Mus musculus: one gene and its partners. The protein of the gene in region 3 purifies or fractionates together with the protein of the main gene of each other region. This does not show direct contact. Links are inferred from orthologs where the notes say so. Each region holds a gene or a part of one and is shown on either strand. Other genes may lie near its edges. The genes, in order: Ncdn, Fus and Eftud2.

Region 1 (3,747 bases), on a different chromosome or scaffold from region 3:
AGGTGTGACCTCTGGTATCCCTATCATGTCTGATTGCCTCATGGAAAGGAGTTTGTCCAGTGGCCCTTCACTACACATCTGGGCAAACGGTCATCACCTGGCCAGCTGAGGAGTGCCTCCTGGTCTCTAATCCATTAATCCATATGCCTAAGACCTGGGAGGCAAGGGGCTTCAGAACTCAAATCCTCTAAGGATTCAGGGTCCTTCCCTAAGGACTTCTCTCCAGAGAAGTCTCTGATCCATTTCCGACACCTTCTCACGGGAAATGGCTCCTGTGTCTCGTTGCTCCGCATGTCAAAACATTTCCCCTTACGTTTCGCCTAAACACCTCCTCTGCTGCAGTGTGAGCCCTTGACTCCAGAGCCTTCTCCCTGTTGCCATGGCAAACAAGCAACTGCTGCACTCCCTCCTCCCTTCACCCCCCACACACCAACTCATCCCCCCCCTCCCACCCCAAGCACTGCAGCTCCTGCTTTGCTGTCCCCAGCTTGGGTTCCTCTAGCAGACTAAGACCCTTTACTTTTGACATACTGATCATCACTCTGGTCATCTCTCAGAACCTCTTGCTAGTTACTCCCCATCCTGTTACTCTCTCAGGTCGAGGAAAAGCTACCCCGGCCCACAAGTACTCTGCACTAGTTACAACCTGCTGCTGTTACCCTATGAGTCAGCTCCCATCTGCTCCGGGACGCCCCAAAAAGCAAATCCAGGCAGCCTCCTCCGTGGTCCCATGCCACAGTCTTATTCACCCCTCTTCTCCCCTTCCCCCATTCTCAAGAGAACAGAGTACAAAGGTAGAGGTCTCAGGCCTTTTTTGGTACCTCCGGGTTGCCAATACCACTTAGATACCCCTGGAGACTTGCTGACCCCATTCTTTGGGGGCCCTCCTGACCAGCCCTCCCACCTTCCAGGTCCTTACTAGCAGCAGGGCTGCAAACTGCTCGCTGTCATTCTTGGCCTCACGGAGGGCTCCCAGGTAGCGCTCCAGGGTGGGGTTTCGGCTCTCTGCCTGGTTCAGAGCTGGCTCACAATCCGAGGCCATGATGCCCGCCTTGCCCAACTGTGAACACAAGAGGGACTGAGCATCCCTCTGCAGAGGAGGGGCGGGGGCGGGGGTGGAAGTGGAGGATGTAGGGAGGGATTAGCACAGAGGGAGGGGGGGTGGATTTGGAAGGGTGGCTTCCTCATGACTGACCTCCCTTGGGGGAGCCCCTTTAAGAGGCTGGACCTACAAATTCTTTAGGATGAAGAAGGGACCCTGGTCCAAGGTCACCTCCAGAAAAGTGGGATATGAGGACCATGCATGCCGCTGCTCAGCTGGACAGCTTTCCTCACCAGTCTAGAAGTGGGAAGGAGCTGGCCCAACTGCTCAGCAGCCCCTGGCACCAGACACCGGGTTTTATCTCTCTCCAGGAGGCACACGAGGAGTGAGCGGTGAGGACAGACAGGGAGGAATGCAGACAGACACGGGTCAAGTTCGATTATCCGGACTCACGCCGACAAGGAAGAAAAGGACATTCTAGGGTTCCTTTCCCCTCCCTTCTTCAGAGAAAGTAGACTGGCTTCAGCAGGAGTGAGAAGGCAAGCTCTCCAGAGAAGGCTTTGAAGACTCCCCTGTGGACCCACCCCTCCAGCCAGGGCTCTTAATCGCCCCCGCAGCCTCCTTGCCTTCTCTTCTTTCCCTCCCTCGGGCAGAGGCTGCAGAGGCTGCAGAGGCTGCAAGAGCAGGAGCTGCAGCTGCTGCTGCAGCAGCAGCAACATTAACCCCTTGTGCTCCCTGTACTCTCCCTGTCCGTCCCGCTAACAGCCTGTGGGTGCCGGCACTGGCTGGAGAAGGAAAGAGGGGTCGGGTGGCTCTCAGGATAACAGAATCCAAAAGCCGGATAATCGAAGCGGGGCTGCAGTGATGGAGAGATGAGAAGGGGAGAAGGGATCCTGGCGGTCACCACCTGTCCCGCCGCAGCCAGGTCACAACACGACATTGATGAAGTCGAACGACAGGGCAGCGATGAGATCACACTTCACGATGGCGCGGTGATGTCACGGAGAGATCACAGCGAAATCACGACATGAAGGGGACAGCCCCCAAATATGATAGGGCAAATTTAAAAAAATATATAGGTAGATAGATAAATACTGAAAGGGGTTGTGACAAAATGGAGTCTCGACAGGGTACGGTGATGTCGAGATATGGCACGATGGAGTCGCGATAGGGTCCCTGGGGAGTCTCGGCATCGATCAGCGCCGGTTCGGAGAGGCTCCGGCTGAGATGCAGGGGAGGGCTTGAAGGGGGCTGAGCTCACCAGGCTGCGGCCCCGAGCGGCGAAGTCTTTCTCCGGGCGCGATGCTCCGGGAGCCTGGGGCTGCTGCTCACGCCGCGTTGCCCACTCTTGGCTCCAGGCTGCTACAGCTCCACCCCCACCCCCGCATCGCTCTCGACCAATCGGCGCTGGGCTCACTCCGCACTCTGACCAATGGCACAGCAGGGCGCTAAGCAGTAGGGGGGCGCCTCCGGTGCGGCCATCTTGCTTGTGGGCAATTGCCCGAGTCTGGGGCCTGAGTGCTCGAGCTAAGGAGGAAAGGTGCGGGCCGCCCCGCAAGGGCTCGCGGCCAAAGGCTGAGGGCCCGGACGTCCTCGCTTGTGCGTAGCTCTCCCCTCAGCGCCGCCCCTCCTCCCACTTTTGGGCTCGCGGCTGGAATTGCGCTTCCGGAGGGTGGGGGCAGGAGGACTGGCTCAGCGTGAAGAGTATGTTTCCGGGTTGAGCCCCGGGAGGTGGGAAGGAGGCGGCGTTTCCGGCCGCGGTCGCTGTCCAGGGAGGCTGAGGCAAGAGGGAGCTGTCCGGGTGGGGAGCCAGCACTTCCTTCTTCCTCCTCTGCGTGAGGGGAGAGAAGGTTGGGGGTCCCCGAGCCCATGGATCGGGAGGAGGCGGAGGCCGCCGAGAGCCGGCACCCCTCTATGTGGCCCTGAGCCCCGGTAGGTGGCCGGGGCGGCTGACTGCCAGGCCGAGGACCAGGAGCTCAGGGGAGGGGCAGAGGCGGGACGGGCGATGCCTCGGGTACGCTGGTCCGGCGTTGGGACCCGGAGATGGCGCTCCTGGCTGGGACAGGACAAATCTGCTGCTTCTAGCCTTGCAGGTGCCAGAGTCCCAATCTGAACCCCTCCGCTTTGGGACTCAGGCCTGGTCAGGCAGCTCCCTCTATTCCCTGACATATGGGCAGACCAGGCTGAGGCACTGCGGTCCTTATGATACTCTCGACCTCTGCAGCCTCGTCCCGAGTTGCTGTCTCTGGTGTTTGATGATCTTCCCATCGAGATTAAAAGAAAAGAAAAGGGAAAAAAAAAAGTTGATACAGAATAAAGGGGGCGGGGCTGGGCTCGTTGGCGAAAACCTTCCTCCTTGAGAATTTTGACAATTATGCCCCTTAGAGGGTCCTGCGGTGGCTGCAGTGAGCACAAAAAGCGAACTGAAGGAAGTCAAAGTAGAAGACCTCAGGCGGGGTTCCAGGAATGCTTTGCCTGGTCTCATCTCACGGTGGTTGTGCCCAACTGACAATAGAAGCTGTTAAAGCTCCTTAGCTGACTCTCCTTGTGCTATCTTGTGATTAACAGACTGGAAACTAGGAACAAATTGGAAAGACGACCTCCTAGAACAATCTGTTCATTTTTCCAGCTATTTGGAAAACAGTGTTTGCAAATATAAGCAAAGCTATTCATGCAGTCTGTTCTGTAACTTTCTCAAACATCTA
Region 2 (3,647 bases), on a different chromosome or scaffold from region 3:
TTGCTCTAAGGGGAAATTGCCTTTGGTTATGACTTTTTATGGAATGGGGTTGGGTCTGCTTGCTGCTTTCAAAGCAAAAACCACAAAACAAAACAATGAAAAATCACGTGTTCAGGGCTATCTCAGGGCCTGGTGTGAAATGTCTTCTGGGAAATTTGGGGTAGATCTTTTAAACCAACTGCTGGGTTGTCCACCACTTGCTACAAGAGGAAAAAACATCTACGTCAGAAGAACAACCAAGGAAAATGAGCTTTTTTTTTCCAGAGGATATAGATAAAACTTTTTAAAGTAAAATCCTTAACTGTGTCTGAGAAATTGCACACGTGTGTGTGATAAGCTCAAAGGTCAGACAAGGGTGGTCAGGAAGGGGTATATTTTAGTAGCCTCTTGAATCTTTTTCCCAAAACAACAATCCATGTTTGGGGAATATTAAAAAAAAAACCCAAAAAAAACCAAAAAACAAAAAACCAACCCTTTTGTAGCCGTTGGAAGCTTCATGTCCTTTCTTCTAACTTGTCTTCTCCAGCGGAAGTGACCGCGGTGGCTTCAATAAATTTGGTGGTAAGTGAACAGAGTTTCCAAAATTCCCAACTCCCAGCAATGCTTTGTCTGATTGTTCATTTGCAGATGTCTTAGCGTGTTAAGTGTCAAAGGTTTCTAAAGTGTCTGTAGCCACCTCCAGAAGGGGTGGGGTAGAATGCCTCCTGCTGCCAGATGTGTGCTAACTGGAGGCCAGCAGGGATAAGCTCTTGGCAGTCTGCTATGTTACTAAATTGGTTTTACACAAGTTAATAGTATTATTTAGTAGGCCTCTTGGTGGGTGTTGCCACATCTAGCACTTAGTGACCACACCATCCTGGGCAACTGGGGGATGTTCTGGAACATGTGGTGCCAACTTGGCTTTAGGATCCTTTTGATCAGTGTGTCCAAGGTGTGTGTGTGTGTGTGCGTGTGTGTATGTATACACAATCTCCCAAATGTTTTAATTTAGGGAGAGGGACATGAAATAGTGCCCTGCCCTGAAGATGGTAAAGTTGGTGTATATATATTTATATTAAATAGTGATGTCAATGCAATTCTACATATGTACTCAGACAAATATATAGGAACTAGATCTGGGAAGGAAGGTGTGGACTACAAGAAAGATCTTGAGTGTATTGCTCATGGGAAATAACCAGGTTTTACACAGCACAAACTTGAATTCATGGAAAAAAATGGCAAATTTGAGAAGTCTCCTAGTAAGCTGGAACTTTTCTGGTTTGTTTAACAAAATGGTTTCTTGATTTGTCTAAAAACACTTAAAGCCAAAGGCTTGGGTTCATGACTTAGGTGTCATTGTGTACAGGTACAATATTTTTATATGGTGAATTTAGATAAACATTGGTTAAAGATGGTGTCTGGAAAAAAATAGGCTGTATTATGAAAACACTTCTGGTCTGTTCCCTGGGACATGCTTTTAAAATACAATAGTAGCTACTATGTATGTTATTTTCATGTTGCTTTGGGGAAACAACATGGTTAAGAATGGTTTTCAAGATGAAATTAAAAATTGTTCTACAAGGGTTGTCTTTGGTGTAAAAGTTTGGAGAAACTGGATGGATGCACTTTACATTGCTGGTGTTGAGCTTACTATGCTTCTCTTGTGAGAGAACAGGGCCAAGTTATGTATGAGTTGGTTGGTTAATTTAAAAGAATTACTAATTCCCCTACCCCCATCTGTGCTGAGGACATTTCCCAGCCCTAGCTGGGGGAAAACAGCATTTTCTTGAAGTGTGTGGCATTATCAATGGGGATTCAAAGTAGCAGATCTTAAGAAAGAGGCCCTTGTCTCCGTCTAGAATTTTCTCCATTGGGAAGGCCTCAGGATAGGGTTTGGAGAGAGGCTGGAAGCAATTACCTAATACATTCCAAGAATTTGCATTTGATGTTAATTTGTTGCCTTATCTGTCCTTTCCTGTTAGCTAATGGTTCCTTTTCCTTGTTTTTGTTTTCTTTTTTTTTTCATGTAACTAAGGTCCTCGGGATCAAGGATCTCGTCATGATTCTGGTAAGCCCATGGTTTTTATATAGTATTCACTTGGATTTTCTTAGAAACAAAAAATACTGCAAAAGTGGAGAGTGATGGGAGGGGCTGTATAAATGCTAGAAACCCTGGATCTGGAAGTTTAGACTTCAGATTCTGGTATTTATTATTTCTAGTACGTCGTGGGTCTTGCTTGGGAGCTGTTCTTTTAAAGTTGATGGTGTTTTAAAGTCCAAAAATTACTAAACCAGACAATTTTTTACTTATTTTTTTGGATTTTTGAGATGGATTTCTCTGTATGACTCAGAAATCCACCTGCCTCTGCCTCCCAAGTGCTGGGATTAAAGGCGTGCGCCACCACACCCGGACAGACATGATGTTTCGTACCTTTATTCCTAACAGGATGATCTCTTGAGTTCATGTCTAGGCCATCCTGCTCTACAGAGCTAGTTCCACGACAGCCTGGGCTATACAGAGAAACTAAACTCAGTTTTAAAAACCAAAACAAAGAAATGCACACATGTAAACTGTTGAGTAACATTAGGTGGATAAAAAGACCAGACTGAAAGATGTGTTAAGGGAACCACTTTACTAGATGTTTTTTGATGGTATTCCTATAGGCTATACTATATTTAAATGTGAAATTGGTCTCATTCCTTTCTTTTGATTTTTAGTTACAGTCATCTACATAATTATTTTGAGGCAGGATCTCTACATAGCCTTGGCTGTCTTGGAACTATGTAGACCAGGCTGTTTTTAGAATTCAGAGATCTGGGGCTGGAGAGATGGCTCAGTGGTTAAGAATACTGACTGCTCTTCCAGAGGTCCTGAGTTCTAATCCCAGCAACCACATGGTGGCTCACAACCATCTGTAATGGGATCTGATGCCCTCTTCTGATGTGTCTGAAGACAGCAGACAGTGCTCACATACAGAATTAATTAAAAAAAAAAAATTCAGAGATCCACTTGTCTCTGCATCCAGAGTGCTGATATTAAAGGAGTGTTCCACTATGCCCTGGCATAAAAAGTTTTTTTTTTTAAACTAAGGAGTCTAGAAATGAAAGTTTGGAAACTGGTTTTTATATTGGGTGTTGGTGTTTCAAGGACAGTAATGAGTAAATGTAAAATTTTTGAAGGAAGTAGATAATACTTAAATATGGATTGTTTTTGATTATCCAATAAGATACTGTGTAACTGGTAAGAATCCTGAGCATTTTTCTTGAAAGCTTTAAAAGTACACATATATGGTTGGTATACCTGGCTAACTTGTCTTTCCGTTTTTTCTTCAAACCTTTCTTTTAATGTGTTGTTGAACAAGCAGAACAGGATAATTCAGACAACAATACCATCTTCGTGCAAGGCCTAGGCGAGAATGTTACAATTGAATCTGTGGCTGATTACTTCAAGCAGATTGGAATTATTAAGGTACTTGATAAACAGTAGGTACTTCCTCTTAACTGTATTACAGGCTCTTAGATTCTTGCCATTAGAAACAAGTCTTAGTGATCTCAGTAGTAAAAACAATCTTTGGCATTTTTTGAGATTGGAGTATAATCCTTTTTTCAAAAATATATTTAATCTGTTTATTCCCAGCAGAGACAGGTGATCTCTGATCTAGGTTCAT
Region 3 (3,747 bases):
GGATTGTCATGTGAGTTCTAGGTAGGATCTAACTCCAAGTCTTCATGGTTGCCTAGCAGGTACTCTGAAATGCTAAACTCTCTTTCCAGCATCTCACTTAAAAAAAAAAAAATAGTATTCTCAAAATATCACAATGCAATCATCAAAATAAAAATGAATACCAGCAGGTTATACTACCTAATCCACAGGCTCCACCAAGTTTGAGAAACTGTTCCAGTCACAAACGACACTGCTAAGGACACAAACTAGGATCGTACTTGACTTTCACGTGACACTTTTCCAGATTACAAACCAAGGCTTTTGAAGAATCTCCCTTCGTGTGGCTTTGCCTCTGCTCTGAGAGGTACACGATTCCAACTTGTCCTCACTGATGATTCTAACTTTGACCCTTAATTATGGTGACAGCGGACATGCTTGTCCCTTAGTGATGGGTAAGAACTCATTGTTCTCACTGCTCTTTTAAAGGACCCAGGTTCGAATCTCATCAACCACACGCTACCTTACAATTGTCTGCAACATCAGCAGATTTCCCCCCACTTCAACGACTGAATATTCTGTTCAAAAGAACAGTTTAGATCTCACCCTACCAGCCTTCCCAGCCCCTCAGCCTCTCACTCTCGTCAGTATCTTCTGTCCCAAATGCTAGGCAACTGTTGTTATTCTAAAAAACAATTCTACGGTTTGCGAGCAACACAAACCAGAGCAGGGGAAAAAGCATCAGGCCCCTGGGGTTAAAGACCTCGATCCATCCTATCTTGGCCTCATTTCTAAGGATGACGTAACTCACAGAAGTTAGTTTACCTCCTTAGAGTGATTTATTATTGCCTAAAACCTTATAAAGGCAATGAGTAAGTACCTAGCTGTGCAGCCTGATAACCTGAGTTCAGTCCTGGAAACCCACTGAAAAGCTACATAGGGTAGTGTGAGTGTCTGTGATCCTAGACGGCCAACAGGAAATGGGAGGCAGAGATTCTCTGAAGCTCAGAGCCAGCTAGCCTGGTATTGGCAGTAAGGAGGAGATAGGACCAAACCCTGAAGCTGTCCTCTGACCTCCACCTGCAAGCCACAGCACATCTGATCCTCACTTACTACACAGAAACACACACACACACACAGAAACACACACAGTGTGATTATCCAAGCATAGGATCTTATACCCATGATCCTACATACATCCTGAGAGACCCTGTCTCAAAAAGCAACAAGTAACAAATGTTGGTCATAACAAAACTTGACCTTCTTGAGCACGTGAATCCCCATGCTCCTTTGTGTTCACGCACCAATGCCCCTGACAGCACCTTGCACAAAAAGACACTCAGTAAAGCTAAGGGAGTGGAATGTTTTGTTCTGAAATTCTGGTATTTCTTACAGTATACCTACTGTTTTTATTTCTAAGAGGCAACCACAATTATGTTCATTGTCTTCTCCCAAGATTACCATCACAAATTTTTAAAGAAGGTTGTTTACTGAACAAGCCAAACTCATCTCTGCCCCCAGGATAATTGTCATTCCCATTGTCCTCTGGCTATGTATACCTTCTTAATTCATTTAACTCACCCTTTTCCTTTAATGTCACCTATTTGTCACTCCACATATACTTGCCAGGCCACCCTTACACTAATCTCTTAGTGTGTGGCTGGGTGCTTAAGATCGAATCCTGGGCCTCACACTCTACTAAACACTTCTCCACCGAGTTACACCCCTCGCCTAAGTAAAGTCAAGGTTATGCCTGAGTAGTACTTAGGGAACATGTGTGTGTGCCCGCTACTGATAAATGTTAATAATAAAATAGGAGCAAAACGACAACAGTGCCTGGGACAAAATAGGCCCTCAATACGTTTTGCTAGTTTTGTTTTTCGAGGGTGGCTTTGGGTAGGGGAGTGAATTAGTGATATGCTTAGTTTAAGTAAAGCTACTCTAAATAACCAAAACTGCATCTTCCCACTGCAACGCAGAATCTCAAAGGAATGCTGGAATCTTTTCTGGTTTTGGCTTTTTGAACCAGACCCGCTACTTAGCCTTGAACCTGCACCAATATTTCTGTCTGCATCTCCAGAGCGCAAAAATTAGGCACTCGCCATCACAGTCAGCTCGGATGCAGAATAGTTTGAAGATGGAGACAGTCTGGCGGTGAAGCAGGCACCGATGGAAGGGGGAGTGGCAGGGGCCTGGGTCTTTACAGCGCCACCTCTACTAAGGGACAGGATCTTAACCACGTTGGGGACCGCGGAAACCCCGGAATCGACGGTGTGTGCGTGCGTTGGGGTCTTTCATTCTCTTTCCCACGCCAGAATTCAATTTACGCGTTCGTTAAGCGAAAGGGATAAGTACTATATAAATCGCCTCTTCCCAAGCTCATGTTTCGCTCGTTCCCCAAGCCCCGAAAGGACCCTTCCCGGCCAGCTCACCCGCCGAATGCTCAGCCGAGTGCCCCGGTCCGCCGCCTGAGCCCGCGCTTCCGCCGCACGCCGCGACAACGCCGGCGCCCGGCGCTAGGAAGGACCCCGAGCGCGTCGCCGGACCGCCTCGCCTCGGAGGACAGCTCTGCCTAAGGAACAGCTTCGAGAAATTCTGGCCCCGGAGACAGAAATGGGAAAGGCCAACTTGTTGGTCCTCAAAACGAAGCGTGGACTTCTCCACAAAAAAAGCAAGGCCGGAGGATTCTGATCAGGCGCCTTAGGACAGCCTGAAAGGAGGGCCTTCGGGCCGGTCACGTGGGCAGACTGGTGGCGCCGTTGCTAGGCAACAATCTCTGTTGCGAGGGCGATGCACTAAGGTGTTCTACCAGATCCGGGGTTTCTCGAGAGAAAGCAGGGAGTCCAAGACTGGGTGAGGGTTTAGGGACAGTAAAGGGGATTGCTCTAGTCATTCTATAATTGGAGAAGGCTTAGAACTCGACAGAGAAATGGGTCGGGTAGCGAGAGTCTATCGTCTCTATTGCTTAGAGGCTGAGCCTAGATCATGATGAGCTCAGAAGTTTTGGAGAGAGCAAACTAGGCACAGCGAGATCTCCTCACCCCCCAAAATATTGCTTAGGGTATGAGACTCTTGAGTACAATTGTTGGCTGAGTAACACAGCCCACTTCTCGGCGTTCCATTTCCCATCATGGTTGGGATGGCTGTGGATTTGCTTGCGGACCAGCTCATTTCCTGCCCTAGGGCTGATCATGAGTGAACTATGGCTCCAGCTCACCAGGATTCTGAGGTGGAAAGAGGTATCATAAGTAAATGTCAGAAGCCAGACCGGAACACATAGCTTCCTATGAAAACAGCCCCATCAGACACATACCGGGAGGCGGCAGGACTTCAGTGGTAGGACTGGAGATAATGCCCACACAGCACACATTTGCCTGCCGCTCTGTGCTGCTCAGGGATTTGGGGATGGAGGCTACTGAGTTTTCTCCTTCTGACACTTCTCAACTTCCTGCTTTGTCATTGCTTTTGGTTGAGGTGATTTTTTTTTCTTCATTAAAGACATTTAGTGAAGTGTGAAATTTTGTCCTTGAGCTGGAGTAGATAATAAAAGAAACCTCTCTGTCTCTCTCTGTATCTGTGTCTGTCCTCCCCTCTCCCCCCCTCCCCCGCTCTGTTCCTTTATGGTAATAAACTGATATAGAGAAATCCTATGTGAAAGAATGAAGAGTCAGAAATCTGAACTCCAAATTGCCTCCTCAGATGAAACACCTGAATTAATAGGTGTGTGTGTGTGTTGTGGTTTTGTGTTTTGCTGGGGATCAAACCCAAGGC

Evidence for each region.
Region 1: the proteins of Eftud2 (region 3) and Ncdn purify together in Homo sapiens (affinity purification with mass spectrometry; 4 studies listed by BioGRID and IntAct, with this or other methods). This does not show direct contact. The link is inferred for Mus musculus from reciprocal best matches to the Homo sapiens genes EFTUD2 and NCDN.
Region 2: the proteins of Eftud2 (region 3) and Fus purify together in Homo sapiens (affinity purification with mass spectrometry; 3 studies listed by BioGRID and IntAct, with this or other methods). This does not show direct contact. The link is inferred for Mus musculus from reciprocal best matches to the Homo sapiens genes EFTUD2 and FUS.

What each region holds. Positions count from the first base shown.
Region 1 is NC_000070.6:126,751,022-126,754,768, forward strand, and holds the start of Ncdn (neurochondrin), read right to left. Parts: upstream 2,409-3,747; 5' UTR 1,983-2,408; coding exon 1,950-1,982; intron 1,547-1,949; exon of another isoform or gene 1,496-1,546; intron 1,061-1,495; coding exon 920-1,060; intron 1-919. UniProt on the Homo sapiens protein: Probably involved in signal transduction in the nervous system, via increasing cell surface localization of GRM5/mGluR5 and positively regulating its signaling. Required for the spatial learning process.
Region 2 is NC_000073.6:127,973,874-127,977,520, forward strand, and holds part of Fus (RNA-binding protein FUS), read left to right. Parts: intron 1-526; coding exon 527-561; intron 562-2,014; coding exon 2,015-2,047; intron 2,048-3,344; coding exon 3,345-3,448; intron 3,449-3,647. UniProt on the Homo sapiens protein: DNA/RNA-binding protein that plays a role in various cellular processes such as transcription regulation, RNA splicing, RNA transport, DNA repair and damage response. Binds to ssRNA containing the consensus sequence 5'-AGGUAA-3'.
Region 3 is NC_000077.6:102,878,487-102,882,233, forward strand, and holds the start of Eftud2 (116 kDa U5 small nuclear ribonucleoprotein component), read right to left. Parts: upstream 2,490-3,747; 5' UTR 2,409-2,489; intron 1-2,408. UniProt on the Homo sapiens protein: Required for pre-mRNA splicing as component of the spliceosome, including pre-catalytic, catalytic and post-catalytic spliceosomal complexes. Component of the U5 snRNP and the U4/U6-U5 tri-snRNP complex, a building block of the spliceosome.